Arabidopsis thaliana: one gene and its partners. The protein of the gene in region 3 interacts with the protein of the main gene of each other region in a pairwise test. Each region holds a gene or a part of one and is shown on either strand. Other genes may lie near its edges.

Region 1 (7,300 bases), on a different chromosome or scaffold from region 3:
TGCACAAAAACTGTGCCCTGTATAGGCATACTATTTAGTCAGTAACGTCGCTTCAAACATATTACTTTTGTGATGCAGACACAAAATGATTGTAGCAGTTTTGCAGTGAAACTTACACAACTCCACCAAGGACCACCCCAAATGGATTTTCATCTGCAGCTAAACCAATTGTAGCAAGCTAGACAAGAGAGTTATGGTGAGTATGTGAAGCATTTAAGATTGAATCAATTCGAGTAAGTAAAAGTTACCTGACTCTTGTCACCCCATTCTCCAAAGAAATTAATCGAAAAAGCCTGCAAGTAGAGAGGGGAAATATGAAGTTAGTTCAGAAAAGTCTACTGCTTTTGTGAGCAAATTCTGTTTTAGTTACCTTGAGAAAAATTGGAGAGAAAAATTGCGTGAGGAACGCCCTATTCTGCTTTTTGTTTTCATCTTCTCTCTACAAGGACAACAAATGATTTGAAAACTTAGCACAGGCAATTTCCACTTGCAGTCTCTGATCTTGTCGTTTTGGTTCAATACCTTACTACTGTCTTTTGGAGATTTACCATTAGCCTTCAAATCAGCATCCTATAATTAAAACACAAGAACGTCAAGCCACAAAAGCATTTATCTAAACGTGAGAGCGAACATGCAGAAAGAAGAAACAAACCAGTTCTGCTTCGACTTCAGCCAATTCTTCCGAACCCCTGCCAACAAAGTCAGATAATCTGAATATCTTGGATTAAATCATCCTTATGACAACAAAATATGATGAAGAAGTATTACCCTCCTCCTTCTTTGAAACCGTCCCACAAAGACCATAGCCCAAAACCAAAGAACAACAATGTTGTTATGTGATGAGTCCATTTGCGAGAGATCTGAAGGTGAGGGTTTGAATCAGTATTTACTATTTAGTAAGAAAAAAAGGCTTATGTAGAAATACAAAATAAGTTGAAGCCATACCAGATTAGGAGCAGCCCATCCAAGAGTAGCAGAGAGGATAGTCATAACCTAAGAATTAAACAAAGACATAAGCTTCAAAATCTATGGAGAGAGGTCACTGAAACCAATAGGTCAAAGCATTCAGAAAAACTTACAATCAGAGCCGATAAACAACCAGCCAACACAAGTCTCCTAGGATAACGCATAGCCAAAATCTGATATGACAAAAAAAAAAAAGAGTTTAAGCTTGCAAAATCAAGATAACAACAGAAGTATCTTACACACCTTCAAAGAGCCTGTGGCAGATTCTAAACTACCAAAACACTATGAAACTGAATGGCAATATAAAAGCTACAGACAAAGGATCCAAAGATGCCATCTAGATTCTTAATCAGGAAAAGGCAATCCAATAAGTAAGACTTTAGACTTCGATTCATGTAAAAGCCATTGACTTCATCGACCTTAAACCCTCAATAGATTACATGAAGCAACAAAATCTAAAACTAAAGCGAAGAGGAGACGAAACACTTACTGCTGCAGCGAAAAACGTCTTGTCACCAATCTCCGATACAAAGGTCATAGCAAGTGACTTCGTAAAACCCTATAAAACCCCAACAATCATAAACCCAGATTAGCTCCACAACGATTCTTACGAGTTTACTCCCCAGAAAACATTAATCTTTTACTCTACCTGCAAAACCGAGCTCATGGCTGCCGAATTATAAAATCGACGGCGAATTAGCTACGAAGGAGAAGAAAAAAACGAAACTTTCGATTTTTCTCCGGCTGTGTTACAAAGAAGACGGAGTGATCAATCGCCGGAGTTAATTAACAGTCGTCGAGAGAGAGCAAATAGACGAGACGAACATTCGCTGAAGAGCTAAAAGATGAATCCTTTTTTTTTGGGGATTGTAGGTGAATTTGATTCTGATTCTTTAACCCTTAAGATCTTACCACGTGGATTGATAACAACCAACGATTTTAATGTGTGGGACCCAGAAAACCCAACTTGAGTTTAGAAGATGTTAATTTGTTCCCTTGTGTTGTTGTTTGCGACTTGCGTCACTTGCTCGAGCAAAACAATAAAGACTTTTACTTCTTTGATAACTAACTTGTCGCGATCACGATTGAGACGTAACGTTTAGAATAGTATAACACGTAAGTTTTTGAGAGATGCTCAAAACTGATTGGGTATTTTAGTATTTTTCGCTTATCTCAACTAAATTTTATTTCGTTTTATCCTACTATTTTATACAAATAAAAAAAAATTGACCGATTTCTGATTGGTGGCGAATTGATTCGCAAACGTATGTAATTATATTTGATTTGATCCAACTGTACTTATATTAATATTAATTTATTTAATTCTAAAATTGATGAATAACTAAAATCAGGTGGCAATATTCTATCTATCTCAACTGCATATCATGTTAAGCTGAGATTAGAAGTGTATTTTAGAATTTATAGTTTAGATTTAGGCAGCAAGGTTAATGAGTTAATGTAGTAGACTTGGGGTATGAAATGGCCCAAACATCCAAGTTAAAAGCCTAGATAAGAGTTACCCACAGGCCCATGAGGGACCATAAATTCACCATTTTTAAGTCAGCAAATTCCTCCACATTGTTAATACCTTAACATGATATGCATATGTATGTTTTTTTGTTGTTGTCAGATTGCGTATGTATGTATTGGTTTACAGTTATAGCTTTCTTTTTAGGTTAATTGTTTAGTATCATATAGCTTTATAGACATAGGTCTGGATAAAATGAAATAAGTGAGCTGTTATAATTTGAATGAAAGTCATCATTAACAAAGCTAAGCTCATAGCCAAATAAAATTTGTCAAAGTGCGAAGATGTGAAACACTCAAAAGTGGCTGACTTAATAAAATCTAAAACAACAATCTCCACACTAACCGCATTGAGATCATAAAACAAGTTTATTTAAATCCTCACACTTAAAGAGGATGAAGAAACCTCCTCTTCCTCTTTAACCATTTATCTAATCTTTGGATTAATTCTTCAAGAAGAGATACTTACTTATATAAATCTCCTCGAAATCTGCAAACCCCCAAAACACAGCTTGTCTTTGTTTTAATTAAAAGAAGCTTTTGTCTCATTTTCCCTTCCCCACCAAACACACTTTTGTCTTCTCTTTAATAAACCTCATTCACTTCATCTTCTTCACTGTTAACGGTCGGAATCTAAAAAATGTCTCCTAACTACTCCTTCTTCTTCTTCATCTTCTTCCTCACTTCACACTCTTCTGTTTTCTCCAGAATCTTACCAGAGACCTCCACAACCACTACCTCAATTCTCAATGTCGCTGACTCCATCCACAGAACCAAGTATACGTCGTCGTTTCGGTTAAACCAGCAAGAAGAACAGACTCACTCTGCTTCTTCTTCTTTCAGCTTGCAGCTTCATTCACGAGTTTCCGTCCGAGGAACTGAACACTCAGACTATAAGTCACTCACACTAGCCAGACTCAACCGTGACACAGCCCGAGTCAAATCTCTCATAACCCGTTTAGATCTAGCCATCAACAACATATCCAAAGCAGATCTCAAACCCATCAGCACAATGTACACCACTGAGGAACAAGATATCGAAGCTCCTTTAATCTCCGGCACGACTCAAGGAAGTGGCGAGTACTTCACACGCGTCGGTATCGGAAAACCGGCGCGTGAAGTTTATATGGTTCTAGATACTGGAAGTGACGTGAACTGGCTACAATGTACTCCTTGCGCTGACTGTTACCACCAAACCGAACCAATCTTCGAGCCATCGTCGTCTTCTTCTTACGAGCCTCTCTCTTGTGACACTCCACAGTGCAATGCCCTTGAAGTCTCAGAATGTAGAAACGCCACGTGTCTTTACGAGGTTTCTTACGGTGATGGTTCTTACACCGTTGGAGATTTCGCCACCGAGACTCTCACAATCGGCTCAACTCTAGTTCAAAACGTCGCCGTTGGTTGTGGACACAGCAACGAAGGGTTGTTCGTCGGCGCCGCCGGTTTACTTGGACTCGGCGGTGGTTTGTTAGCTCTTCCGTCGCAGCTCAACACGACGTCGTTCTCGTACTGTCTCGTTGACCGTGACTCAGACTCGGCTTCGACCGTGGATTTCGGGACTTCTCTTTCTCCTGACGCCGTCGTGGCTCCGTTGCTACGTAACCACCAGCTCGACACGTTTTACTACCTAGGCCTCACCGGAATAAGCGTCGGCGGCGAGTTGCTTCAGATTCCTCAGTCTTCTTTCGAGATGGACGAGTCAGGCAGCGGTGGGATCATCATCGACTCAGGAACCGCCGTGACTCGTCTCCAGACCGAAATCTATAACTCGCTTAGAGACTCGTTCGTGAAAGGAACGTTGGACTTGGAAAAAGCAGCCGGGGTGGCGATGTTTGACACGTGTTATAACCTTTCGGCTAAGACGACGGTAGAAGTCCCGACCGTGGCTTTTCATTTCCCCGGCGGGAAGATGTTGGCTTTGCCGGCGAAGAACTACATGATTCCGGTTGACTCGGTGGGGACATTTTGTTTGGCATTTGCACCGACGGCGAGTTCACTAGCGATTATCGGAAACGTGCAGCAACAAGGGACACGTGTCACTTTCGATTTGGCAAATTCTCTCATTGGATTCTCGTCTAATAAATGCTAAGCTGTTTTCATCAAAAAAAACAAAAATGCTAAGCTGTTTTTTCTATAAATATATTTGAGTTACAATGAAAAGGAAAAGTCACTTAAAAGATAGTAATGTTAAGTTAGAGTACTGTACTACTGTTTGGTTGTGTTTGTTTCTTGTACTTGTTGTTGCAATGCATAGAGTGAAAAAGAGTAAAAAAAAGATGGAATTTGTTTTTGCTAATTTTATGATTAAAGAGTAGAACAATGAATCTTGAGGGGCCTTGTTACAGGTCACATCACACACGAATGAATGACTCCTTCTTTTCTATGACGCATGAATACTCGTAGTGTTGAGAGTTAAAGCCCAAATACAATGTGTGATCGAAGAAGTTAAGCCCAAATACAATATGTGATGTGATACAAAATAACAAAATCTTTGTAAACCAAGAAACGAATGATTGAAAATACAATCTCTTATATGAGTTATGATCATGAAAGTGTAATCCCTAGTACTAACTGATATGAAACAAAGAAAAAAGTGATATGTTTATGGAAGATGAATTTACACAAAACTAAATTAACTCTGGTGATATTCTATTGGATATGTTTAATGAACTCTAATCATTCTATGTAAACAGTATTTTTTAAAAGAGTAACATGGCACAGAGATTTATATTATCAAAAGAGAAAGAAAAAAACATGGCACAAAGAGAGGTGGCGAAGTCATGGTGCCACTACTTGCCATCACAACATATGAAGTGGCAGCTATGGGTTCAATCATTTTGTCCTTAAAAAAAAGCTTTATTTTCCTTTCTCCTTTTTATATGTCAACCTTTTACTTTCTCCTTTGTTCATCCAAAAACATTCTCTTACTTTTACAGTTTCATGCTAGACATAAAACTTATGCCATAAGAGCAAAAAACCTGGATAAAATTCAATGTTTTTGTTAATATTTTCACAATTAAAATAGTGGTATATTTGTTGACAGAAAAAACAAAGAGTCGTAGATTCAATAGATGATTTTGACCGGTTCTTTTAAATATCTGAATAATGAGGTATACAATTCATACGTACATTAAACAACGTCCAAGCAAAAAAAAGAAGAAGAATACATAATTATATAATACAATTTATATCAAACATTTACCACACTTCCCTTGTAGGTGAATTTATAAAAACTTTGACATAAAGTTTGAGAAAACTATATGCAATTTTTCTGTTATATGCATTAAAGGTCCATTTCCAAATAACAAACAGAAATAAAGCAACGAACCAAAAAAGAAAAGAAATAATTTTGTGATAGGAAAATTAAAAAGAAAAAAACGTGAATAGTTACGGAGGGAGAAAGTGTGATCTGAAAACGACCACTGCTTATCCAATAAAAAGGAAGAAGACGAAGAAGAAGAAGAACCGCTCTGACAAAACTTCTTTGCCTCACTCTCTTCTCTCATCGTTTTTCATATTTCTTCTTTGATTCACGTTTCTTTTCTTTTCCTCTCATTGACTATTCTCCCTCACTTCTCTCTCTCTCAACTCTTGTGATATTTATTCAAAGATGCTTCCATGAAATTTGGTTTTGGTCAGTGAGTGAATCTTCTCTTCTTACTCCATCATGAGTGACTCCACTAACAGCGTCTCTCCTTCCTCTGATTACGCCTCCATCTCCTCCGGCGACCAGGTTCTCCACCCTTACTCAATTTCGATCTGGGCACGAATCTCTTTCTCTTATAATTTCTGTACAAGCGAAGTTGTTATGAGAATCCCTTTCTGGGTTTTGCTTTTTAGAACATAAAGTCATTTCCTTTACGAGTGTGATCTTGATGAACTCATATCTGGATTTGTTCCTTACATGTTAAGAGCGATTGGTTACTTTGGCTTTGTAACTTTAATCACGGGTCAGTCGCAAAGTTTTTTCTTTTTGATAGAAAATGTGTCTTGTGTGAGTTTGATCACTTTATGTATTTGCATTGTACTGATATGAAGTTTCAGAGTCGTTGCTTATGTTAAAGCATAGCTTTTTGTAGGTCTCAGACTCGTCCATGATGTAATTTGAATGAATCAATGTTTTCATTTTGATTTGCAGAGTCTTCAGCGGAGTCGAAGGAGTGGAGATGGAAACCGAGCCGTTGTGCGTGAGTCCCGCCATTGGCATGATGTATTCTGGTCAGCCATCTTTGTGATCCACTTGATTTGTTTGGGATTTGTGCTCGCGGTGCTTGGACTCAATAGGTTTAGAATATCAGATAGGTTAAACATCGATAGGTACACTCAAGGGTTCTTGGAGAATCATAAAGGTCTAACAGAGGATTACTGGCCTCTCTATGCTGTTGCTGGTGGCATTGGAGTCTTTATCAGTTGGGTTTGGTCATTGCTGCTTGGCTCTTACGCCAATGAGATGATGAAAGTTTCGGTTCACATCTTAACAACCTATCTAGCTGTAGTTAGTGTACTATGTTTCTGGTGCAGACTGTTCTTTTGGGGCGGTGCATTCGCTGTTGGATCTCTGTTGCAGTTCTTGTATGTTATTTCAGTTATAGACAGGTGCGTCCGAGGTTGAACTGGTTGAACTATGACTGAACCCCTATGGTCAAATGGCAACAACTTTTTAGTTCTGATGATTTGAGTTGTTCATGTGTAGACTTCCTTTCACAATGCTGGTCCTACGGAAAGCGCTGAAATTAGTCTGGGGACTTCCTAAGGTGATAATGGTGGCACATGCTTTCACAGTAGTCATGCTTTTGTGGATGTC
Region 2 (6,992 bases), on a different chromosome or scaffold from region 3:
TTCGCCTTGACCTTGTGCTGGCCGCTTTTGTACAGCATGAAGGGGGGAAGGTTCCGTCTCTGTTTTATCTTTTGCTGCGAACTTTTTTTTCCTCTGTTCTCTGTACAGCACACTGCTGCTTTTTCTCGGTACTCCTCTGCTTTCTCTAGCACAGTGCTGGGTTACTCCTTCCTAACTCTCCTAACTGTTATCCTCCTCTGTGCTCTACCTGAAGCACACTCCTCTCTCTGTGCTGGTATACTCCTAACTCTTAATAGTACGCACACACGTAACTCTTAATAGTACGCACACACGAAAGTGAAAGTAAAGGGATTGTCTGGCCCTGCTACCTAGCCAACATGAGCACACCCAGCTGTATTTCCTAGATTTAGGTTTGATTACTTTTCTCGGTATAGCAGCGCTACTACGCTTCGCTCACACTCTCTCGACCAATGCTGCCTTCTCTAACAACTCTCAGGGAGACTAAAGAACTGAAGGCTTCGGAGCCTAGCCTCTAACTCAGGTGACAGGCCAGAGAAGAACTTCCTAGCTAGAGTCAACTCGCTTCAGGTGCCTGCCAAATATACCTGCGGGCTTAGTTGAACCTCCTGATGTAGACCTTAACAGAGTAGCTAAACTGATCCAATCATCATCCCAGTGATTAGGCTAACTACATTCCTTTTTTTCGAAAGAGAAAGAAGTCAAAGGCGTTCCTCTCCTATTAGTCGAGTAGTAGGCGTTCCTCTCCGAGTAAGAGACTGAGCCGGCTACCTTACTTCGTCTGGAACAGGAACAGCTAACAACAGTACGAAGAGTATGACCGCTGACCTTCTGTGGAAAGAAAGAAAAGATATTGATTCTACGGGTTCCTCCTATGAGATAGGAGAAGCTGGGTTCCTCCTACCTACTTGAACAGATAACTAACTACACCTACTGGACTGGCTACTCTGCTTCTAAGGGCGGCGTAGCCAGATACAAGGGTTAACAACAGATACAATAGTTCCCATCCGAACAAAGAGAGGAGGAGATTATTAACTGACAGCAGAACGCAGATCGTACTTAGCTACACATGATAACTCAGCCAGGGACCTACGGACAACAGATGAACTCTTCATGCTACTTATTCCCAGAGAACAAAGAAAGGAAGTGGAAGCTGCACAGCGGGAAGCAGACACAACCCAGAAACAATACCTGCAAGACGGAGAGGGGGAACTTAGTGATATAAAGTGGTAGACCCCTTCTCCTATCCCACGTATCAACGGGAGGACTGCTTCGCCTACTTCACGCCTACTCATACACATTCCGCCCAGAAGAAGGAAGACTCTTTTACCGCAGCAGCAAGGGATCCCGGGCCCCGCCATGCATGAACAGGGGTTCCTCCACTGGAAGCAACCAACTGGTTATTCATGGCTAGTCCGAACGAAGAGAAGGGAGATTCTTTCACAAATATGCCATGTCGCTTACGCTCCTCGCCCAGAATATACAGCTGCAAGTGCTGGTTCAGCTACAACGGTAACTAGAGGAAGAAGCCCTAGTATGCACGCACCTTAGGAACACTCTAGCTACATTCACATTATTCCCTGGACCGGAACATTCATAAGATATTGACTAAAGACAGCTGAGCAACAAGCAACCCTTAACCGCTCACACGGCTTACCCGTCGTCGTCGACAAGCTCGCTTCCCGGGTAATCCTAACATGAGCTACACTTCATGACAGAACTCACTGGAACAAAGAAGAGCAGACTAGTAAGGGACCAACAGGGAACTTCTAGACAATACTTACATATTCCAGCCTATACTAACACATATTCTAGGAAATGACAGGACTGGCAACAACCGAAGTGCCAACACCCGATACACCGCTAGAGAGAAGTATCCACTAGCAGAGAACCACAGGGAAGACATCTAGCTACTTCTTCCACATTACAGACGATACTAAGATATTGACTCATTCCAGTATGACAACCGGAGGCAACAACTGAACTAAGATATTGACTCCAGTATGCCAGCTACACCTTCTACACTGGAAGCAAGGAAGTAGGAACTAGTCAAGACCCTAGGGAAACATCTAGCATCTTCTACCCCTTCCCGGAAACTTTCTTAATAAGGTCAAATCTGTGCAGTGTAAGCTTGATCTCTTTGAATTGGGTATTCCCCCAACCTGTCAAACAAAGAAAGCTAGTATAGGCATGAAAACAGCTTGCTTAGAGAGCTTGCCTTCCCCTTACAGGCAAGCTTTAACTTCCCTTCCTAACGAGCCAACAAGTTAGAGATGTAAAGACGGTTCCTTACCAGGAGTCAATCCCACAAGAATCCTAGCTTGATTGGTTTGATGTAAGCGAATGCGAGTACAGGGAAACGAGACAGCTCACAACAAAGCTTAGGCTCACTTCTGACCGAAAGTCCAATTCAATCATTTAAAGCTCACTGAGCACTTCTTTCCTTAGTTTGAGGACGTTAATGAGTTTCAAAGGATAATAGCTGATCTAGAAAACCTGAAAGTCTCTATATCAGACGAGGATCAATACTGATGTCCTTACCAAAACATAATTCAATTCAATTCAACAGCAAAAGAAGGATAGCTTGATCCTCAATGCCTTTGATCATCTTTTTCTAGGTAGGGAATTGCTTATCTCGGTAAGCTAAGAATGTTAGAAACAAAGAACTAGGACAGAACGGGAAATGGAGAAGGAGGTTAGAATCAAAGAACAGTAAATGGAGAAGGAGGTTAATGTGTATTTCATTCTATCTACATTTTAACTAATTGAGTGTATCCAGTCTTATCCATTAATGTAATTACAAGAAGAATAGTACCAAGCATGTAGGTTATAGTTTTCACTTTACTGGGTGAAGGTTTCTGTAGTTCAAGTGGGTCAAAAGTGGTTTGCGGAAACATATCTCTAATAATTCGATTGAGAGGCTCCTCGCACTCACATGGACTTAAACTTTTGTGTATTATACAAACATGATTCACATACACATCTCGTGTATATTGCAATACATTTGGTAAATTATCTGAAAATAATAATGAAGGTTTCTTCAAAAGAGGTCCAGGAGCTATTTCCATTAACACTGTTATACTGAACAGTATACAAAAGAAGACTGCAGTGCGAGAATTTATGGAGGATGATAATGCATTTGAGATATTCTTCTGAACACTTTCATATCTTTTATGTAAAACATTTTTGATGAGAAAATCACCAGTAGTATCCAAACACTTTAATCCAGATGATGGGAAAATGCTTTGTTTAAACCTACTACGAAGTATGCTTAATACTTCATTATTACCAGTTGATCCATATGGTGATGTGAAATCTAAGTTTAGGTTTTTGATATAACTATGAAGTATATTAGGTAGTATTACTTTCTCTGTTGAGTTTGTACCACTGGTCTGATGTCTCAATTTCTCTCGCGTTAGGATATGAATTGGATTTTCTGTGGAACTGTTGACCAGTGGTCCTCTAAATAAAGGAGATTTCATTTTCATATCTAAATTCACCAATATGTATAGAGCACCACTGGTCAGAAGTAAGAAAGATAATATATATGTCTATTGGTTAAATCAATTCTGGCGAGAGATCAAATTCAGATTACTGTTCAATTATTTGAGTTCAGTCTAATTTTCGACCTAACAAGAGCAACGGAATCACGCTCTGTAGGATTTGAACCTACGACATTGGGTTTTGGAGACCCACGTTCTACCGAACTGAACTAAGAGCGCTTTCTTATCACAATTGATAAGACTGTAAAGACGAGGATTCTTTTTTTTTTTATAACCCCAATAAATTTTCCACGCCTATATTATCATATATAATATGAGAAATTGAAAGATTATCTATGTCCAATTTGAATCGATTACCAAGCCATGTCCCCTCATGCTATATGAGACTGAACTCTCAGTTTGTATATGTGGAAAGAGACCTAAGAGAACTGAAACTGACTTCTAACCTAGGCTCTTACTCTCTTATTTTGACTTCTTTCCTTCTTTTCCCGTAGGATCTCCCAAGAAAAAGCCAATATCCTGAGAGTGATCTATAAATTCCCACGAAGGCCAATCAGCATCACTAAAACAAGAGCAAGTTGAGAGGAAGGTGTCAAGTGCAGACAATTCAGAGAAGATATCTCAACAATCTTTTGAAAGCGTTTAATAGGAAGGAATAGAAACTTTAATCTAAACCTTCTTTTCTATCTAAGGTCTCATCAGAAATTGTGAAAGTTCACTGAGTAAGCTATGTCAGGTCTGGTTATGCTAGCAACCACCAAGAATGCTCTAGCTACGATAGAGATGAGGATTAGCAGCAAAGTGGAACTTACAACAGCAGAGCAGACAAAGAGGACCCAGAAGTGACTATGGGAGAAGGGAGAGGTTATTTCCATGCCAGCCTTGACCAATAGATCAGTAATGTTTTGAGAAAGATAGAAGCAGAAGTTCTACTCACTTTTTGACCAAGATTGAGCCAGATACTTTATAGAAAAGATGGCATTTTTGATGCATACTATGTCATCAATATGAAGAGGATTGGACCATGTGATTCTAAGATCATCAACATATACTAGAATGTACAGAGCATGATCACCGCTCAGAAAGAGAGAGAGAGAAAGAGACCGTAATGTCTGAGAGAAAGGAGAGATTGAAAACGGAAGCAAGCGGAGGGATAGGAGAAGAGAGAAGAGAGATTGTAGCGATTTACTGTATCTGAGTGCAACACAAACAATACTAAGACCAAGATCTTCCGACTTCTTTTTCCAATGTATCTTTGTTGAAGATGAATCTCAAACAACAAAACTAAGGGATATGGCATTCATTTGAAAATGAACTAACTAATACTGCTTCCAATCAACATATTTCGATTTCAAACCACGAATCCCCCCAACACAGCAATCCAAACTTGACACAACTGGAACCTCACATTCCAAACCCAAATTAGCATTCGAATAACCAGATTTATATATTTTCCCATCAGCTCAACATCAGAGGAATATTAAGGGAATAGTGAAGGGGATCTTATACCTGAAGCTGTTTCCAAGGAGATCCACGCCATGGACCAGTTTCCTGATATGTATAGAAGACAATCCCCTGAAACCAAGTAATCCGCGAAGAGTCCTCAGTCTCCATGGCCATCTTCACTCTAGTACCAGGAGTCCAGAATATAGCCATGGAAGCCTCAACATCTTCTGCCTTCACCACAAAGTCCGACCATCCAGCCGTAGGATAATAAACCACCTCAAACGGCAAACCCTGAGCTGCTCTATTAATCGCCTCAGAGACAGCTTCAGCCGTCAATTTCCCTTTCCCAGTCCTCCTAAACCCCTTCTTCGCACTTCCGTCGTCTTCCTTAGCAACGCCTCCATTGCTCTGATAATAACTACAGTACTCATCTCCGCCGTAGAAGCTTGTTCCTCCGACGTTACTAGAGATTGGTGCTCGCCTTACACCAATAAACATCTCATCAGCCGATTTCCTCATAAATACAACAGAATCACCAGCGATTAGCTTCTTATTGTTCACGAACTTGCTCCATCCGGTGGTTAACAAGTGCCTCCTCGGTGTGGTTCGACTTGACGAAGAGCCTTTATGCCAACAACAACTGCTTTCGAAGCGGAGCTTTTGAGTGTTTTTTGGGCTGCTGAAAGTTTAAGCACCAACAGGTGAGAGTGGAATTTTAAACTGACTGTAGAGAGGTGGCGGAGGCAATCAACCACAGGTGTGGCCTTTGCATCGGAACCTCCTAAGTCAAATTGATAATTATCTGCCATTGAAGGTTGGTCTGTTACCGTCATTGAAAAAGAAGCGAACAGAGCGGCAACATTGCTCGGAGTGTCGCAAGAGACCGAAGGTACCAGTCCTATATATCTAGTGAGGAACCTCGGTGGTTGGCTGCTGTTCTATTTCATAAAGAGAGGAAACCCTTCGAGGTTGGCCCTAGAGTGAAGTTGTGAAGTTCTCGAACAGACCCTTCCAAAGGTCCGCCCGGTTCAACTTGAGTACTCCATTCGGGGTGATATATAAAGGCTAAAATCGTCAGCAGAATAGCGAGTTTTGAAGCCGGTTGAAGGGGCCTCTGAGACAAGGAAGCCCTTGCTTGAAAGAGTCAACGGAGCAATGGATTATTTTCCGTTACTTATTTTATAATAAAGTCTGATGACCACAACAGGGCTTGTTGAATGGCAGGCTTGACTGGCAATGGAAAGGAGATGGCTCATCCATCTCAGATGATCCTCAATCAAAGACTCCTTCTAGTGGTTCGCTTAAAAGATCTGTACTAAAAACATCCCTCCCTACCGGGAAATCACAAAAAAAGAGTACGCGAAAAAAGCACCTTTAGGTGCCAGGAGTGCGGCGTCCAGCCATGCTTCGAATCGAGTACCGGCACCGATGTCCTATTTCGTCTGATTCAACAAGCCTCCTATCCCGGACCAAAGAAGTGGCTGGATAACCTTTCTTCCCTTCTACTTTTAGTAGTCGATGTTATACCGGTACTAAAGAGAAGTAATTGATAGTGTTCAACATCCCTATCAATGACTTCTAACGGTCAGTCTATAGCGCTTCTAGCCAGTCTGACTTAATAAAAGATCTTCCAGCCAAGCCTGTTTCAGTTGAAATAGAAGTCAGCCTTTCTCTGGTTTTATATATCCCTGTGACTGGTCTTACTAAGAGCAGCTACTAGGTTTGCTTACTACAGACCCTTCATTACCACTTTATCGATAAAGGGATTGACTGCTCTAGCTACAACGGTCTCGCTCCTACTACTTTTACCTCTTATTACATAGGATAAACCGAGAAGACTACCGACAAACAGCAGGAATGAATGTGACCCACGGCTACAAACGAATGAATAGAGGGGTTTGGAACTAGAACCGTATCCCAACTCAAGGCCCTAGAAAGGTAGGGCGATGCAGTAGGAACAGATTACTTGCTGCTTGATACTGAAGGAATTTAGTGTACTCATCCTCACATACAGATAGAGTTTTATGCTCAGTAGTGGTAGAAGGATTAGGAGGGGGAACATAG
Region 3 (9,769 bases):
CCTGATAGAATCAGGCAAGCTGTTAACCCTGACTTTAAACTCATCAAACTCACGCTTAACCCGTCTACGATCCTTCACGAAATCAGACTTCACTTTGTTCTTGTAAGGATCTCTCTTTAAGCTAAAGTAGGAATCAGGATTCCTCGGCTCGATCGCATGTTTACGACAAAAAGGAACCCAAATGTTGGCAAAGCTAGCAGCTTCAGCCATTGCTTCAAACGTAAGAAGCGCCCCTCCATCATCAGATACATAGCAAGAAAGCTTCTCAACAGGATATTCCGCAGCAAGAATAGATAAAATGGTATTAGCAGTGACCAGAGGAGGTTCTTTCTCCGGATCCGCAGTAGAGACAAAGACATCGAATCCAGGAAGGTCGGATTTGCCGGTCGGGTTGCTGGCTGTCGGTGTTTCAAACTTTTCCTTCAAGACTTGAAGATCGGTGGCACGATTAATCGGGCATAGCTTAGGGAGCTGATCAAGAAGCCAAGACAAGGCAAACCATAGCTCACAAACCACAGACATTCCCCATAACCATACAGCGTCTGGGTTTTGATGTTTAACCCTCCAAGTCAAGAACAATGCAAGAACAACTATACGGATAAATATCAAAAGCCTGCATAGAAAGAAAAAAGAACTCTTTTAACATGTTTAGGTTTCGTAAAGTTAAACAATAACAACAAACAATAGACTTGTCTATTTTTATACCTGTATGGACTAATAACACCAGCAGGAATTTTCAGCTTCCGAGTAAGCGGTCTCCACGGTCTGCTCATCAAATCTTGGGCCTCCATACCCATACCGTCACCATCTCCATCTCCATCCTTACCGCTCCCGAAATCCCCGTCCTTTGTCCAAAAAGCATTCCCATAACCATAAGTTCCAGTCGTCTCAAATAACCACCTGTTGTGATCAAAATCTCCAGTCTGACTCCTCATCAAAGCTGATTTATTAGTTGACTTCACCATCGACAATCTTCTCTCCATCTTTGACCCGCCACCCCCAGGCAGCATAGGCCTTTGCTGACCGTTTTCATCAACCTGATCGGTCAAATGCGTGTTCTTGTACGGTTCTTTACACCCGGGGCAAATCCCACCTCCGGTTTTGACAGCATCTATGAAGCAATCCCTACAAATTTTAAAGTCACATTCACAAGGAAGAAGGTCTTGACCTCTCTCATCGCTCATAACCTTAGCATCACAGCCAGGGATCGCGCAAGACGATCCTTTAGAGCCAGCCATTTGTGGATGGTTAGGCTCTGTCTCAATAACTTTGTGCATAAGGTGAGCCCTGGTGTTGCTCTTGAAACCGCCAGTGAACATGGAGTTAGCGACATATTGCTCCTCAACTTTCTGAGAAATGGAAGGGTCCATTGGCTGGTTATCTGGAGTGGGAGGAATGTGAACTGTATAGCTCATGAAATCTTGACCGCCCAACTCGCTATCAAGATCGTCCCTCGAGTAATTGATATAGCGACCCGAGGAAGTTCTTTGAGCAAATTTGACAGAGTGACCAGCAGGTGGCCTTCCAGGCTCCTGAATATCAGAGTTGTTTGATAGATTTGATCGACTTTTATCAAAATGCTTATTAGATGCCATAGTTAGGATCTAACTTGGCAGATCCCTGCAGAAAGAAGTCAAAGACAAAATTAGCAAAAGAAGAAACAAAGACATCTTAAATTCATTCAAAAACATCAACAAAGAAACAGATCAATATATATATATCGATCTAACAACAAACTCATCATCAACATTCACACAAATGAAAAGAAAAGGTAACAATCATTGCTTACTACAACAAAAAGGCACCACCTTTAAAGTTATCAAGACGAATACACTAATTCAAAGTTTCAAACTTTCAAATCCGAGAATATCTCGAAAAGCCCACACATCTTTCTTTAAGCACAGGCTTTAGACATTTTCAGACAAAAAGAGACGATCCCACCACGAACTTATAAGAAAACAATAAAACAAGATTTGAAACTCGAGATTGCTTACAATACCTTCAGAGGAAAGGAACGCTAAGAAGAGAGAAGAAACTCAGATCTTTGAGTTATATAGTAATTAACAGAAGAAGAAGTAGAGACTTTGTTGTTAACAAATCCGTCTGAAGTATTCAACGCGGTCGTGTCGTGCCACCCAACTGGATATTATTATGAGGCATTTGATAAGAAGAGATAGTGAAAGGAAGAAGAAGAGGAGAAAAGGACTTAGTCGTGAGCAAATACTTGAGCACTCCTGCTAACTAATACACGTTAGCCGATTTATCCCCAAAATATATATTCAAAGATCTTAAAATATATATAAAACAAAGAAATTGCCAAATTTTGTAGAATCGAGACGACAAATCAAGAAGGAAGATCTCTACGATCTATTTCGAAATTTTTACTAAGGTAGAAAATTTTATGACGCGGTGAGACAGCGAAGACGAAGGTGGAACGCCGCCGGAAAAAACAAGTTGACGTAGTACACTTTTTTTTTTTTTTCTTGAAACGTTTTAATTGATTTGGGGGGGGGACTGAGGTTTTTCGGACAAGGTAGAGAAGAAAGTAAGAACAACTCTTTTTAACTCTTGTGGTCTTATTTATCTTTTAACGCGTTAAATATTGTTTCCATTTTTTTTCTCTTTCTTGAATAGGGATACCGAAAATTTACTTACCATAGAAGATTAAAGAAATCTCTAATTTATTTGATCTCAGTTCAGTGATTTACAAGTGTTTATAGCAAACAGATACTGTAGAATCCAAGTTTTGAAAATAACTCAAGTGAATTTGAATTTTCTCGGGAAGTCGCAAGTTAAAAATATAATGGCATTAAGAAATGTAAGATTACGAAATCCTCTTATAATAAAGGGGAAATGGTTGTGATTAATGTCATTAATATATCGTTGTTTAGATTAATGTCATTAATATATCATGTTAGTATAAAGCAATTTTGTTTTTGGTATTTTGCAGAATAAAATATGGGAAAATAAAAAAGAATGTCGTAGGGAGGCGTTAATCTCGGGTATCAAAAAACGTGTAAGCACACTGAAAGAGACGATGAGGGTACTTTGGGGAATTTCAAAATAAGGAATGGGAATACGCGGTCGCAGGAGTATTTCTCACCTGTGAATACAAAATGTTTCTTTTTGGAATAATGAGATAACGTGTTACGTGTGTACGTAGCATTGATCAAAAATGTCAATATTTCATATCTATGGGAGTAACTACTACTAACCACGAATAATTCTCATTATACACGTAATAATGTCCCTGTCAACATTAATATTAAATATCTGACATATAGTATTTAATTTGTTGTTATTTTTGAAAATTTATGTGATGAGTGAATATTAATCCACGCTATTACACAAAACGAACCAACAACACACCCCATCGCAGACCAATATTATCAGCGGATCACGTCAAGCGGATCGGATTTGAAAACATCAATTGACTTAATTTGATTTATTATGTTTTGTTTGCAAGACACAAAACGAGAAATACATTTGGTCACAGATCAGAGATCACCACCGTGCATTTGGAGTCATTCCCGAACCAAAACTCTAGTCTTGGTCGTCCTAGGAACTTTTCGAGTCTATGACTTGGTTCAATCCTGTCCTCAGTCTCAGGTTTTCAGATTTGATACACTGTTTAAGCTCCTGAACAACATGTGACATGTCTGGTCTTGCAACCGGAGATGGATCCACACACGACATCGCTAGTTTAAGAGCTTTCCGCACAGAACCAGAATCATACTCGCCAATGAGGTTAGGATCAACAATGGTGCTAATATCACTTCTTGTAAGCATAGTCCTTACACGTTCTGCGATGTGTCGATTTTCGTTAGCTTGCTCAAGTACGGGTTGATTTGTGATTATCTCCAATAACACGATCCCAAAACTATAGACATCACTCTTTTCGGTCAAGCGATATGTTCTGTAATACCTACACAGACAATACATAACAAATCATGTTTCTTTAACCACTCGGAAATTATATTTGGAATGCACCCTGTTCTATATTGATGCTTACTCAGGATCTAAGTATCCAGGAGTGCCTACAACACCAGTCGACACATGGCTTTCCTCTCCAACAGAAAAAGATCTAGACAGTCCGAAATCCGCTAGTTTAGCTTGGAAGTGCTCATCCAACAGTATATTCATGCTTTTGACATCTCTGTGAACCATTAGTGGTTTGCATCCACTATGCAAGTACTCCAATCCTATATTGAAAGTTTCATTTATGTTTAACGTATCATCATAAGTTTGTAGGAGGGGAATTTACAAGGGGGATAAAATTGGACAAAATCAACTTCTTGAGAGGCTTTTTAGTATTGAAAACAGATTAGTTATGGAATGGACGAAATAACACTAACCTAGTGCGGTTTCAACAGCTATGCTTAATCTGTTTTCCCATTTTAAAACACAGTCCCCATGTTTTCCTGTAATAACCAGGAGATACATGTCTAATGAAGATAAGATGTTACTGTATAATTACCTGTCAAAACCACCAAACCATATTATTCATGTCTACCTGAAAGATGCGATTTTAAGTCTCCATTAGCCATGTACTCGTAGATGAGGGCTAAGTGTGCTTGTTCATCACAATATCCAACAAGGCTTACCAAATTTATGTGGTGAACTCTAAGGAGAAGTTCAACCTATCAACCATAAGGAAATCCATTCATCAATGATTATTTGAATCTCAAGGAGAAGCCATAATACCTTTGTAGTCAATTCCATGTTCAAAGTTTGTAGTAAAATCACCTCTGCTTTGAATTCTTTATAGCCTTGAGATGAGGACGGAGAGAGCACTTTAACAGCCACTTGCTCACTATCATTCAAATAACCATGATAGACGACCCCAAACCCTCCTTCACCAATAACTCTTTCAAAGTTATTTGTCATCAACAATATCTCTGAATATGTGATCCTTCGTTTTTTATTTTCCAGAGATAAATTAGCCCGTGACGGATGTAGAGCTGCATAAAAACATCAAGTAAAATATATAGCTAAATAACTTCTAGTAGCTTTTATTCCTGTTTTCTTATAATGTAACATATTTTCTTTATTAACATTACCTCTTATACTTGATGGCCTTTTCTTTATGAAAACAATAATGAGAACCAAAACAGCTATAAAAATGGCTATTGCAGCAGCAACAGGTGCTATGACTGTGGTTTCTTTATTTCCACTTGAACTGTTACACGGACCTGTGGCGCAAAGCTTTGGATTTCCTTCAAACCTACAGAATAAATAGAAATCATCTAAGGGCACAAGTAATAGTTGAAAGAATGTTACGTTTGAAGATCTTACTCCAACTTCAGATTTTTTCGGTCAAGAAGCGCTTGAGGAATGGAACCAACAAGATTGTTATTGCTTAGGTTTCTGTCATGGAAAAAGCTATTATCTCATGAAAATGCAAAGAATTTAGAGAAAACAGAAAGAGATAAGTTCACTTGTTTGAGGACTTACATGAACAACAGTGACTTCATGTTGGCTAGAAACTCAGGCACACCTCCGGTCAACTTGTTATTCGACAAGTCCCTACAGTTATGTTTATTAAATACGGAAAAGAAAAACAAATCACACTACTCTATATCCAATGAAGAAATTGAAATCTGCCTAATCATAGTCATTCATGTGTGAGGATGCAGAAACAAGGTTACATAGAAATAGTTTGTTGAAAAAACAGCGACTGATTTTATATTGGTAATGCAGATGTGCAGCCACATGTGCAGGAAATGATACTAGAAATTAAAAATAAACATCCAAAATTCTTGGTATATATAGTCAATAGAAGTACAAAAACCATACTAAACTTGAAAAACCTATTGATGCTCAAACAGCGCAGTTATTAGAGGCCATACTTACAGTTTCTGTAGCTGGGTCAGATTTTGTATATCTGGCACTATTTTCCCAGTTAATTTATGTGAGGACAGGTCTCTGGTCACATAACACATTTTAGCAGTAAGAAATCTAGAAACGTAACTAATTTATAACAACAATATCACACTTTTAAGTGCTTACAAGGAAATGATTCTTGGTGACGTAGACATGTTCATGTAGCTGCAGTTTAGGCCAGTCCACAAAAACTGCTGGGGAAGACACGGATCTCCTTGCCAGTCGACTCTGCTCAGTTCATAGGTAGCTTGGATAACCTTGATAGATATAACTGTCATAGAGTTAAAGATATACCATACTTAAAACATATTAAAAACAAGAATTAGGTAATATGTTCAAAACAAATTATTTCTTGTGGTTGATACTATGATGATTCCTCTTGATTAATTCTCGCATGAACTAATTTACATAACCTCATCATCATCACTCATGTCTCGTATGTGGACTACTGTTAGATAAAGTGCAATAATTTGGTTCACATTAACTTGCTTTACCATCTGTAGAAAATTAATATGATACTACAGAAAACTGGTCGAGCTAATGGAATAGCATTCCATATAATAGTTTGAGGCATATATCCCAAAATTTTAGTAAAAGTAGTTGAGATATATACGTACGTACCATCATCAGGATTTGTTTCAGAATGTGGAAACTTGATTGCAGTGAATGCCTCCATAGCATTAACCAGAGGTACACGTACTCCCGGAGACGCTTCGCTGCGTACCAGCTGCAAACTGCAGTTACCGCCATCGCATTTGTTCACCACAGTCTCTACAGTACTTACAGCCAAGTCTAAAGGAGTAATACTCTCATCATAACTAATCTTTCCATTCACCACAAAGTAAAAGGTCCTTGTAAATAAAGTTCTCAAGGCCTCGTCAGTGTTTTCCCCAACAGGTTCAAGCTCGGCAAAGTGAACATACAGGTGAATTTGCTCATCAGGGTTATCCAAAGTCCAAATAATGGTCAATCGCGTTCCATTGTCTCCAGGTGTGGCAGCTGATGTTAATGCTGCTTTTGGTGGCTCGTAGTTGTTAGAGTTATTCACATCTAAACTGGTAGTTATCTGCGTCCATTCCGGTAAGAAGAATGGGGACCAAACACGATCATAGACATCGTCAGGATACCTGCGGACATCAGAAAACACATCTACATGGATTGATAAACCATGCATCACTAATTCACCAGTTCACAAACAACTGGTCTATGAAAGACATTACGATCATTAAAAACAATTTCAATACGTCTATTATATAAGTCAAAGTTCATTGGTAAGAGCATTAATAGGAAACTTCCTGATGTTGGTCAGACATTTGAAGGTTTCTTGTATTGTCTTCATGCATCTATATATTGCTAAGTTTAGGGAAATTTTGTATATCAACATCAAATTACAGATTATGATATAGTGCAACACTTACCGGATTAACCGATCTGACTGTCTATAGTACCTCCGAAATAAATGCTTCAAGGAAACGTCTTGGACAACATAAGTATCGTTTCTCAAAAGCCTCAGTTCCAGGGCGGATATGAACGGCAAAGAATTACCTGTCTTGACAAGACAAATCTGCAGAGAGTTTGAACTTGGTATGTGAATAATCTCTTCAACACTGCCATTGACCTTTCCTTCCAAGTCAACTCTTACCCACTTATTAGGACCTAGATACAGATCAAAACTCGGATAATCATTATAACCATCGTAATTTCCATACACAAACACAGCTTTGATCATGTATCTTCGGTTCTGAAGGACATCTAGAGTATAGCAATTTCGTAGCCCATCTGGAAAGTATCTCAGAAACAAATACGGCTTTATGTGTACTGCTTCCAGATTCTTCTGGATTCTACCGCTTATTCCACTAGGGATGTGATCCGCATCCGATGAGAATACTAATCCGGTTACCGGTTCAATATATGGAGGCTCGTTACTCGGCAACCCGCAATCCAAACTGATGAATCCTGGTGAGAGGAAATATAGTTATGAATGATTGACTTTCATCCACGAAATATTGCTTTAGGTTAATCAGTAAACAGACAAAAGACGTGTGCAACAATGCAATAAAATGTGGTTACCTTGTTGAGCCTGAACATAATGTATAATGGCAAATATGAAAAAAAGATAACGATGACGATCCTCCATTTCTGCTACCTCAAAGAACCGCCAGTGTTCTGGTATATGAAGAAGTGCCTATGATCAACTCCTCTGATGGAGACTAATAAAAAACAGTTTTGTGAGGTCAACAATTAAAAGTGCCACCAAAGATATCTGAATCAAAATACATAAATAAAAGTAGCTCAAAATATTTTCTAACTCAACTTGAAAAACTTTAATGTTTGTAGATAATTTCTACAGGCTGGTGGTGAAAAATTCACCCATGTCTATATCATCTGCTAATACTTAAAACGTCGCAAGGGAATAAAATAACAAGCAGACAATGAGAGACCTTTAAATGACGTGAAGAGGACATACACAATTGTATAAAATGTTAGTTTCATAATATTTCCACGTAGCTAAAAGTAGCCAAGTTGCGAAGATGAACAGGAATTACATTATATAAAATAGCAAACAATGTTAAAATTGAATAGGATACACATTCCACAGTATATATCTAGGGTATTCAAGACTGGAATGTGAAGTCAGAGTGATCGGTCTTAAGACAAGAGAGAACTCAAAGAATTGGAGGCTGTAGAGTTGGATCTCCAGCAATCGCATCTGCAAATACTCCTAGATCCTTTCACGACCCGCTGTGACCTCCTCGTGTGAAGCTTGATATTCACCAGCTTTCCGGCTATCTGTCAACGCAACAAACACATCAAGATTTTCTGAATCTTAGATTTCGACATTGCAGTAAGTTCTTCTCACTGACTGATCAAAGATCAAGGCAAATACTTAATTAGACGATTAATGGATAAGCCGAACACACATGGTGCTGAACAATCAGGATAATTAAGGAAGAGACCTTGCCATTGTACAACACAAAAGGTGAAGTTTTTATACTCTGTTTTTTTTCACAATATCAAAATTAAGTTACCACATGTACATTCTGTCAGATATTATTAAGCTTTTGATTTCTTTTCCATCTTAGTTATAGAAAGGTATGTAAGTTTTGTAGGTACATACCATTCTCCATGTCAAGTCCTCTGGACCTAATGGCTGAGCAGGGCTCGAATATAGGAAATGGCGAGAGTACTGGAAAAGTTTAAAACAACCATATTACTTAATATATATAAAGATCCACTGCCCAAGTAAGGTTGCTATGCCCTTTCGTGTAAGGCGAACTATGCATTTTGTAACATCAAAGTTAGTGATAAGGAAAACTAAGTACTTACTTGAGCAAGATTATTCTGCAACCCCTTGACTTGGAAGGGCGTAAGACTTCTCAGATGGTTTACAAGCCACCCTGGCTGTATTGCATCACTGGAAGAAACAAGCACAGCAACCTGAAAGGTAAACAAAAGCAAAAGAAAAGAGAGCGAACAGTCATACAAACTTTGCTTCATATCTAAACTAATTCAGACAAAAAATGGTTATAATTCAGAGCACCAATGTAATACGTTTTCTAGCATACCTTCTTGTAATCAAGTATTCCTTCAAAAGGAAATTCCAACTCGTCACTGACTATAACAGGTATACAGCCACTGACAATGGCATCAAACAACCTCGCTGAAGATGGTGTGTCACCAGCAGGACACAAACAGAATAAAGATCTGATAGAAAGGCAGAAATAGTTAGAGAAAGTTGAAAGAAAAACTAAATGTGCTGCAACCAAATGGGTCAAGGAGCCACCCAATATACCTACGCATGCCACGTTGCGCTGCCAATTTTCCTCCCTCTCCGGCAGTCCCCTCAGAAATTATTATATCCTTGATACCACTTAATTCTGCACCA
Region 4 (7,222 bases), on a different chromosome or scaffold from region 3:
TCGTCTATCGGATTCTGTTAAAGGAATTGCTCCCGGAGACGGAACCGCCATCAGGGCAGGTCCTGATGGCGGTTGTTGCGTCGCGCACGGGAGTGTTGTTCATGTTTTTGATTGGATGTTGGAAGAACATTCTCCGATCAACCTTGATTACCAGAGAGTAAACGATGTTGGCTGGATTGATTCAGACAACATCGTACTCTCTGCTTGTGAGAAATTGGGAAGAGGAGATGGAGGAATGGGACTGTTCAGTTCATCTTCCGGTGATCTTCGGTATAAGTTTCAGGTCTGTCATGAGAATCAGGTGAAGAGTTATACAGCTGGAGCTTTGAGTTTTTCGCCGGATTATGAGATTTTTGCGAGCTGCAAAGGTCGGAGTAATGAGTATGGAATCGGAGTTTGGGATCAGATAACTGGAAAGCAAACCGATTTCTTCTACGAGAGTCCTGGTTGGTCACTTGGTGATGCTGACAAGCTTCAATGGCTGAATGGTAAGAACTGTCTTCTTGTGGCTACATTGTTTCCAAGAAAGGACAACTGTTACATTAGTTTGTTGGATTTTCGGGACAAGAACATGGTTTGGTCATGGTCGGATATTGGGTCTCCTATGGCGATAGACGAGAAGAGAGTGAGAGATGCAATAGCTATGGAAGATAGCAATTCGATTTGTGTGGTGAATGAGTTTGAGGATTTGGGGTTTATTGATCTGAGGATGTATGGAGGAAGCGTGAGGTGGAGTTCGAGAAGTAAACTGATGAAGAGTAAGATGCCTGATGAGCCTTGTTACCCGAAACTAGCTTTGCATGAAGGCCAGCTTTTCTCATCAATGAATGATTCTATCTCTGTGTTCTGTGGACCAGACTGGGTCTTAACTTCTAGGCTAAGAAGAAGCTATGGTGGCTCAATCTGTGATTTCTCCATTGGTGGCGACCGCCTTTTTGCATTGCATAGCGAGGAGAATGTGTTTGATGTCTGGGAGACTCCGCCTTGTCCGATCATATAATTCACTACCTTAATACTCTGGTTTGCTTTTGTTCACGTTTAGTTTGCTTGTTTTAATAGAGTCCTTAGAAAACTACAGAGAAAAGAATAGCAATAGACAAAGACAACTATAGCAATAGACTGATGATCTTAGTTTTGTTCTATACAAAGAAAGTGTTGCTTCTTACTAAGAAATGATATCGATTTTATACGATTTTATGTCTCTTACACCGATCAACGATAGCCAGGTCTTCACTCGATACAGAGTTCTTAGTATTAGCTGTGTTTTATTTTATTCTCGTTAGACTTACTAAGCTGTTTCCATGGTGGTCCAAAATCTCAACCTCAGCTTCTTTAAGGTTTTTTGAGGATTCGTTACCTTAGTACATGTGAGTGGTTGCAACTGCTACTGTCTTTTGGGGGCAGTTAAAGTTTATATCTTCATTTCGCTTTTCCTTAAAGATTCAAGATTTTAGCTTTTAGTTTTTGGAAGGAATTTTCTTTTCTCATTTACACTTTCCGGGAAAGTTTGTGGCATAACAATGTGAGCTACCACATTGGATAAGCTCTGACCTTTAAAGAATCTAGTTCACTTCTTACCATCACTTTGCAAAATCAGTCTCTACCCTCTCTGTTCCATTTCCATTCTTAAAAGCTATATTCTCATTCAAGAATATTGGAAATCTGATATGTTAAAAAAAAAGATGGAAAAGCTTACCTAACCGTTGAGAAAATCAAAGACTCCCTCAAGGCAAGTACAATCAGCTCGAGTAGTCAAAAGCAATGTAGTTTTCCTGATTATCACCTTCTTTCTTGAAAGCTTCCCTGAATCACAGAAAAGGCTTAAATTTGATACAAAACTCAAACGTACCAACTGTCAAGATCTTCACTATCCCAAGGATACAAACTAACAACGAAGTGATCCTGTTTACCGCTTTCGGACCAGTTTTACCTACGGACTATGCAACACATGCACCACTACTTCAAACCAAAATGTAGTAGCAATATACAACGATCAAAAAGCTCTTAACAGAATAAAAGCAAGAATAGTAGTTGTATGAGGGTATGGCATAAGGGGACGACATTGCTGCTATGCCTGCAACAAGTTTGATAAGAACATAGCTGGTTACCAACAAATCTTTCTAGACTAACTACAATAGACCATTGCACATTTGCTAGAGATCATGTATAGTTCGAGTTTTCAAGTACACAAAATCTAGACTTAAAATCAAAGGAAAACATAGCCTTTGATCTAATAAAAACAGAATAACAGTCTGAAGTGAGAATTTGCGGCCTAGCGTTCAACCCGGAAAGACAGGACCGGATCATATCTGTTGCGGAACAACACACGATTCTCCCTTGAGGATCTCCAACAATTGATATTGTCTTCAGCCTTTCTTTTATTTGTATGTACTCCATATTTATAGGGGTAAGTTACATTGCGTGACCCAACGGTGAACAAAATCGAGTCCCCAGTCAAACCACAACCATGAGGAAGCTCCTTAGCGGAGCAGTAGAAATTCCCCAGGTGTCCACCAAGAAACAAAACACGGTCTCCCAAATCGCTGACCTCAACCCATTCAGCAGCCTCCTCATCTAGCCTACTTACTCTACATCTTAGGAAGTCTGTCTTAACCAGGAAAAGCTCCTCATTGCCAGATGGAACCAGAAAGTTGGAGTCGATATGAGGTGTTAGGGGAGTCGCTTCCAGCGAAGAAGGATCGATAACGAACGTGTCCCCATTAAAGAAAGTTGCATAGAACCTTCCTCTAAAAGTGAATAACTCCTTACATGAAGCAGTTGAGGGTTTCTCAAGCCGAATCCATCTCATTTCAGTACTTCTTAACACCAAAAACAAATCAGTGCAGTCGAGGAGCGCAACGAATTCGCCTCCTCCTCCTTGTTCGTTTAGCGGAAGAAAAGCTGCACTGTATTCTTCAGGATTGCAACCGATCATCAATCTGTACTTATGGCCCAGAGGGATGATCTGGCAGTCAAGCATGTTCATCAAAATTGGCTCAGTTCCTGGAACATTGACTTTCACTGAGCACTGAAGAGGAGATGGAAGCTCCACATGATCATTTGACTTATCTTGGCCTAATCCTCCCAGAAAATATTCGGAGGAAGCATCAGCAGCATCAGGAGGAGTTAGAACTCTAAAGAGGAACAAAGGGACCTTCTCCAGGGTGCAGCACAAGTCTTTGCTTTCTAAAGGGAAAGCGGGAAGAGAGTAACTTTGGCGTAATAGAGAAGAAGGAAATGGAAATGTGGATCGCCATGAGCGGCAAACAGAGCGGGCATGAACAGCATCGAAATAGTGATCCTCTAGATGCGTTGAGATAATGTGAAGTAGCTCTTCAGGGAGCTGAGACCAGTCTGGCATTATCGATGATGTTGATATCTTCTTTTTCATTGCCATGCTTGCTGCTGAAGAACACAGAAATTTACTGCTGCAATTTCGAAAATTTACAACTTTTTTTTAGGGGTTTGATGAAATTGCTGAAACGATCCAACTCTTCCATTTTTAGAAAATTCTCAGTTCATTCTTGGAAAATAAAACCCAACAGGAAAAAATTGATTTCACTGAAGCTCCAAAGGTCATAATCAATTCTGGGTTTGATCAATTTGCCACAGGAAAAACTAAAAGTTGGTAACAGAAAATTCACAGTTCATTATAGAATATTCGCAGGGATTAAAGAGATAGGTCGTAGTAGTACCGTAACTTGGAGAAAAAGTTGGAGCTTCCTGCAGATTCTTCAGAGCCCTTTCGTAGCGTCGACAAATGGGGATAGAGACTAGTTAAGATTTAGAGCGAATTTGGTTTGGGGTTGGATTGATTGGGAAAGCAAAGAACCGAAGGGATTGAGACGGTTTATATCAAATGAGCCGGTTAAGACTTTGGTTTTCGGATAGACTTGAGATGACGTCGTTTTTGCATTATGTTGTTGTTATGTTTCTTTTCTTCGTTCTGTTGATTGTTTTGTACTCTTGTTTCTCTCCTCTGTACCCAAGAATATTTTTGATACTGATTTGCCAAGAGGTATCTTCGATCGGTTTGAATCTTAGGAACTCGTAAAGTGATGTGAGTTCTTGTTTTTGGAACGGTTAATAAACGCTAGTACGCAACATTAATGAAATAACACAGAGCTTGGTAACCCCATCAATGAAACTCCCTAGGCTAACTATAGAAGTAAGTTTCATTTTCCTTTAAAGATGATTTCAAGAACTTAGCTTTAGCTTTTGGAAGGAATTTTCTTTTCTCATTGACACTCTCTGGGAAAGTTCTGGCGTAACAGTATTAGTATGTGAGCTACCACAGTGGATATGCTCTGATCTTTAAAGAATCTAGTTCACTTCTTTTCATCACTTTGAAAAAACAAATGTCTACCCTCTCTATTCCACTTAAAAGCTATATTCTCATTCAAAATGACATCGGTATAATATGTTAAAAAGATGGAAAAGCTAACTTAAACGTCGAGAAAAATCAAAGACTCCAGGGAAATATCAACGAGCTAGAGTAATCAGCCATTGCTTTATTGAGGAAGTCTTCGGGAGCTACACGGTCAAAAGCAATGTAGTTTTCCTACATTTAGTCCATATCGTCGTCATCAAGCGCCAGTTCCATTCAAGTAGCAAGATTTTTAAACTGCACAAGGCAGCACACAATAAAAGATCAGTGACCAAGAAAAGAGTTTCTATATCGTGGCTAAACGTTTCAGTTTTGGACAGTGTCAAATTGTTCAAAAAGATCATGATGACGAAAAAAAGTTATAAGAACTCAGAACTGAGATTTAACTTCAACATTAAATACCAGTGATCCAACAATGGGTAACATGAGATATCACAAAATCCATACCTAAAAATATGATAGGAATTTATGTTTTTATTTCTCTAAAGCAGGATTTTACTGCCTAGCAGTCTTCATGGAGAGCCATAACCGGAAAAAATGGTTGAGTATCATCACACGATTCTCCCTTGAGATCTTTTACCGCACTTTGTTTATAGTATAAAAATGCATTGCCTGACTGATCGCCGAACAAAACTGCGTTCTCAGTCAAACCAAAACCCCGAGGAAATTCCTTAGCCGAGCAAGAGAGATTTCCAAGTAACAATACACAGTCTCCCAAATCACCGACCTCAACCCATTTACCAGCCTTCTCATCTACCCTCCTCACTCTACGAGCTAACCGACTAAAGTCTATTACAACATCATTTGGGATGATTACCTCAACCAGGAAAAGTTCATCTTTGCCATATGGAACCAGAGACCGTAATTCTCGCGGGTCCTGAGGTGAGGACAACAGAAGAGTCACCTCCAGCGAATAAGGATCGATAACGACGATTTGTCCTGAAAGAAAAAGTGCATAAAATCTGCCTCTAAAAGTGACTATATCAACGCATATAGTATATGGGACGTTCTCAAGCTGCTTCCACCTCATTTCAGCACTTGTTAACACCAGCAAAGTGTCAGAGACTTCGAGAAGCACAACAAATTCTCCTCTTCTTCCCTCCTTGTCTAGCCGAAGAAAAGTCGCGCGATTATATTCCCAACCGATCATTCTGTACTTATGGCCCAAAGGGATGATCTTTTTTGGAATAGATGCTGGGATCTTCACGTTCACTAAACATTGAAGAGCATCGGAAAGCTGATCATCAGCAATATCAGGAGATGGACCTTCTCGAGGGTGCACATGTTTTTGCTTTCTGAAGGGAATTCGTTGAACGAGGGAAGAGAGTAACTTGGGCGTAACAAGGGAGACAAAGGAAATGTGGATCGCCACAAGCTGCAAACAGAGCGAGCATGAACAACATCGAAACAGTTGTCCCCTAGATACTTCAAGATACAGTAGCTCCTCAGGGAGCTCAGACCAGTCTGGGGTTATCGATGATGTTGATGTCTTCTTCGTTTTGGGTTCTGCCATGTTTGCTAATGGAGACAGAAAACGCTGCAATCTACGAATTTGCTAAAAAAATTCTAATTTACATTTGAATTGATTGTACAGTAAAATCGCAACAAAATATTGGGGAAAAAACCCGAAGATTCATTTGGCATAAAGAGATATGATCGTACCGTAACTTGGAGCCCAAGGTCTCTGGAGAATTTGAAGGAAGAGAGAGTGATTTTGATTAAGCTTTAAAGAAATTGAGTATACAAAGGAAGAATCGCTTCCGCTGTAGCAATTTACTGTTAGTGTCGATTGTGAAGTTTGCCCTAGACTAGTGTCGTAGACGAGAAGATTTGAGGTGGGACATGAATTGAGAAAGAGGTGGGATTCGGTTCGAGATTGAATTGGGAAATTAACCGAAGGAATTGGCCGGTTAAAATCAAGTGAAGCTGATTAAACAATTCGGGTTTTGATTTTGAATATAAAGATCACGTTTGATAGTGGATTGATAGGCAAAGCTTTGCGAGATGTATCTTTGATCATTTGGAACACGCAAAGTGTTGTGTTCTTGTTCGTTCAATTCTAAAACAAAACGATTGATTGAAAAGGTATGAGTTTGTGAAGTTTGTGCAATAGATTGCAAGGTTAAAGCGATTGGCTTTGATCGAATGGGAGCATTTCCGATACATGTAGCGCCTGGATATTCAAAAAATGGAAAATTGAAAATAGAGAGGCTGCTCGAAAACACTCAAAGTTAAAAATAATGTATTAGACTTAGGGCTTGATTGGTTCTCCCTTTACCACCCGCAAACGCTTGTTAGCGATTGACACCAATCATAGAAATCGTTAGATATCGTTTTGGACCGCTCGAAATCGCCCGTTTTTCAAAAACTCTTTTCCGCAATCGTTTGCGGTTGCGAGCGGTAGCGGTTAGGTTAAAAAAAAATATCATTTTTTAATTAAATTAAATAATTGTGGCTTCCATCCAAACTCTAATTACTATAATTAAAATAATCTAATCTTTTATATATCTGATTTTTATTAGAAAACCTTAATCAATATATTGTAATCGTATTGTCTCAATTATGGCATCCGATGAAAATCAAAATCAAGAATCAAACATAAGTATCATCTATCCTTTTATTCATTCATTACCTAGTGTAATTCTTTAACTATTTCATAGCATCGTTGTTTTTATTTTATTTTGTATTCTTTTGAGTTTTTTGATTGAATACATGTTTCGATTTGTTTTCTCGATTAGAAATCATTTGGTCGGACGAGATGATATATTGTATTTTTATTTGGTCAGAAAATCAAATTTTCTAATATTATAAATTTATCATAATATATTGTATTTT

What was found.
Region 1: the proteins of AT5G16900 (region 3) and AT1G25510 interact in a protein complementation assay, tested with the Arabidopsis thaliana proteins (one large-scale study listed by BioGRID).
Region 2: the proteins of AT5G16900 (region 3) and AT2G07678 interact in a protein complementation assay, tested with the Arabidopsis thaliana proteins (one large-scale study listed by BioGRID).
Region 4: the proteins of AT5G16900 (region 3) and AT2G24250 interact in a protein complementation assay, tested with the Arabidopsis thaliana proteins (one large-scale study listed by BioGRID).

What each region holds. Positions count from the first base shown.
Region 1 is NC_003070.9:8,956,657-8,963,956, reverse strand, and holds AT1G25510 (Eukaryotic aspartyl protease family protein), read left to right. Parts: upstream 1-2,773; 5' UTR 2,774-3,133; coding exon 3,134-4,585; 3' UTR 4,586-4,870; downstream 4,871-7,300. Other genes in the region: AT1G25520 (Uncharacterized protein family (UPF0016)), read right to left, coding at 1-17, 117-178, 249-293, 371-439, 523-570, 653-689, 769-860, 946-993 and 3 more; AT1G25500 (Plasma-membrane choline transporter family protein), read left to right, coding at 6,164-6,229, 6,635-7,092, 7,190-7,300.
Region 2 is NC_003071.7:3,277,572-3,284,563, reverse strand, and holds AT2G07678 (uncharacterized protein), read right to left. Parts: upstream 3,468-6,992; coding exon 2,730-3,467; 3' UTR 1,435-2,729; downstream 1-1,434. Other genes in the region: AT2G07625 (uncharacterized protein), read left to right, coding at 109-235, 399-466; AT2G07669 (uncharacterized protein), read right to left, coding at 1,011-1,340.
Region 3 is NC_003076.8:5,553,505-5,563,273, reverse strand, and holds AT5G16900 (Leucine-rich repeat protein kinase family protein), read right to left. Parts: upstream 8,218-9,769; 5' UTR 8,198-8,217; intron 8,094-8,197; 5' UTR 8,021-8,093; coding exon 7,954-8,020; intron 7,840-7,953; coding exon 7,302-7,839; intron 7,172-7,301; exon of another isoform or gene 7,058-7,171; coding exon of another isoform or gene 7,011-7,057; coding exon 6,505-7,010; intron 6,155-6,504; coding exon 6,010-6,154; intron 5,926-6,009; coding exon 5,854-5,925; intron 5,527-5,853; coding exon 5,455-5,526; intron 5,368-5,454; coding exon 5,296-5,367; intron 5,225-5,295; coding exon 5,061-5,224; intron 4,962-5,060; coding exon 4,747-4,961; intron 4,641-4,746; coding exon 4,514-4,640; coding exon of another isoform or gene 4,481-4,513; exon of another isoform or gene 4,422-4,480; coding exon 4,356-4,421; intron 4,203-4,355; coding exon 4,013-4,202; intron 3,926-4,012; coding exon 3,559-3,925; 3' UTR 3,334-3,558; downstream 1-3,333. Other genes in the region: CSLD2 (cellulose-synthase like D2), read right to left, coding at 1-613, 706-1,595; AT5G16890 (Exostosin family protein), read right to left, coding at 8,533-8,673, 9,002-9,070, 9,211-9,321, 9,450-9,588, 9,677-9,769.
Region 4 is NC_003071.7:10,311,164-10,318,385, forward strand, and holds AT2G24250 (LOW protein: F-box/kelch-repeat protein (DUF295)), read right to left. Parts: upstream 3,818-7,222; 5' UTR 3,696-3,817; intron 3,429-3,695; 5' UTR 3,398-3,428; coding exon 2,273-3,397; 3' UTR 1,903-2,272; downstream 1-1,902. Other genes in the region: AT2G24240 (BTB/POZ domain with WD40/YVTN repeat-like protein), read left to right, coding at 1-1,000; AT2G24255 (LOW protein: F-box/kelch-repeat protein), read right to left, coding at 4,890-5,900.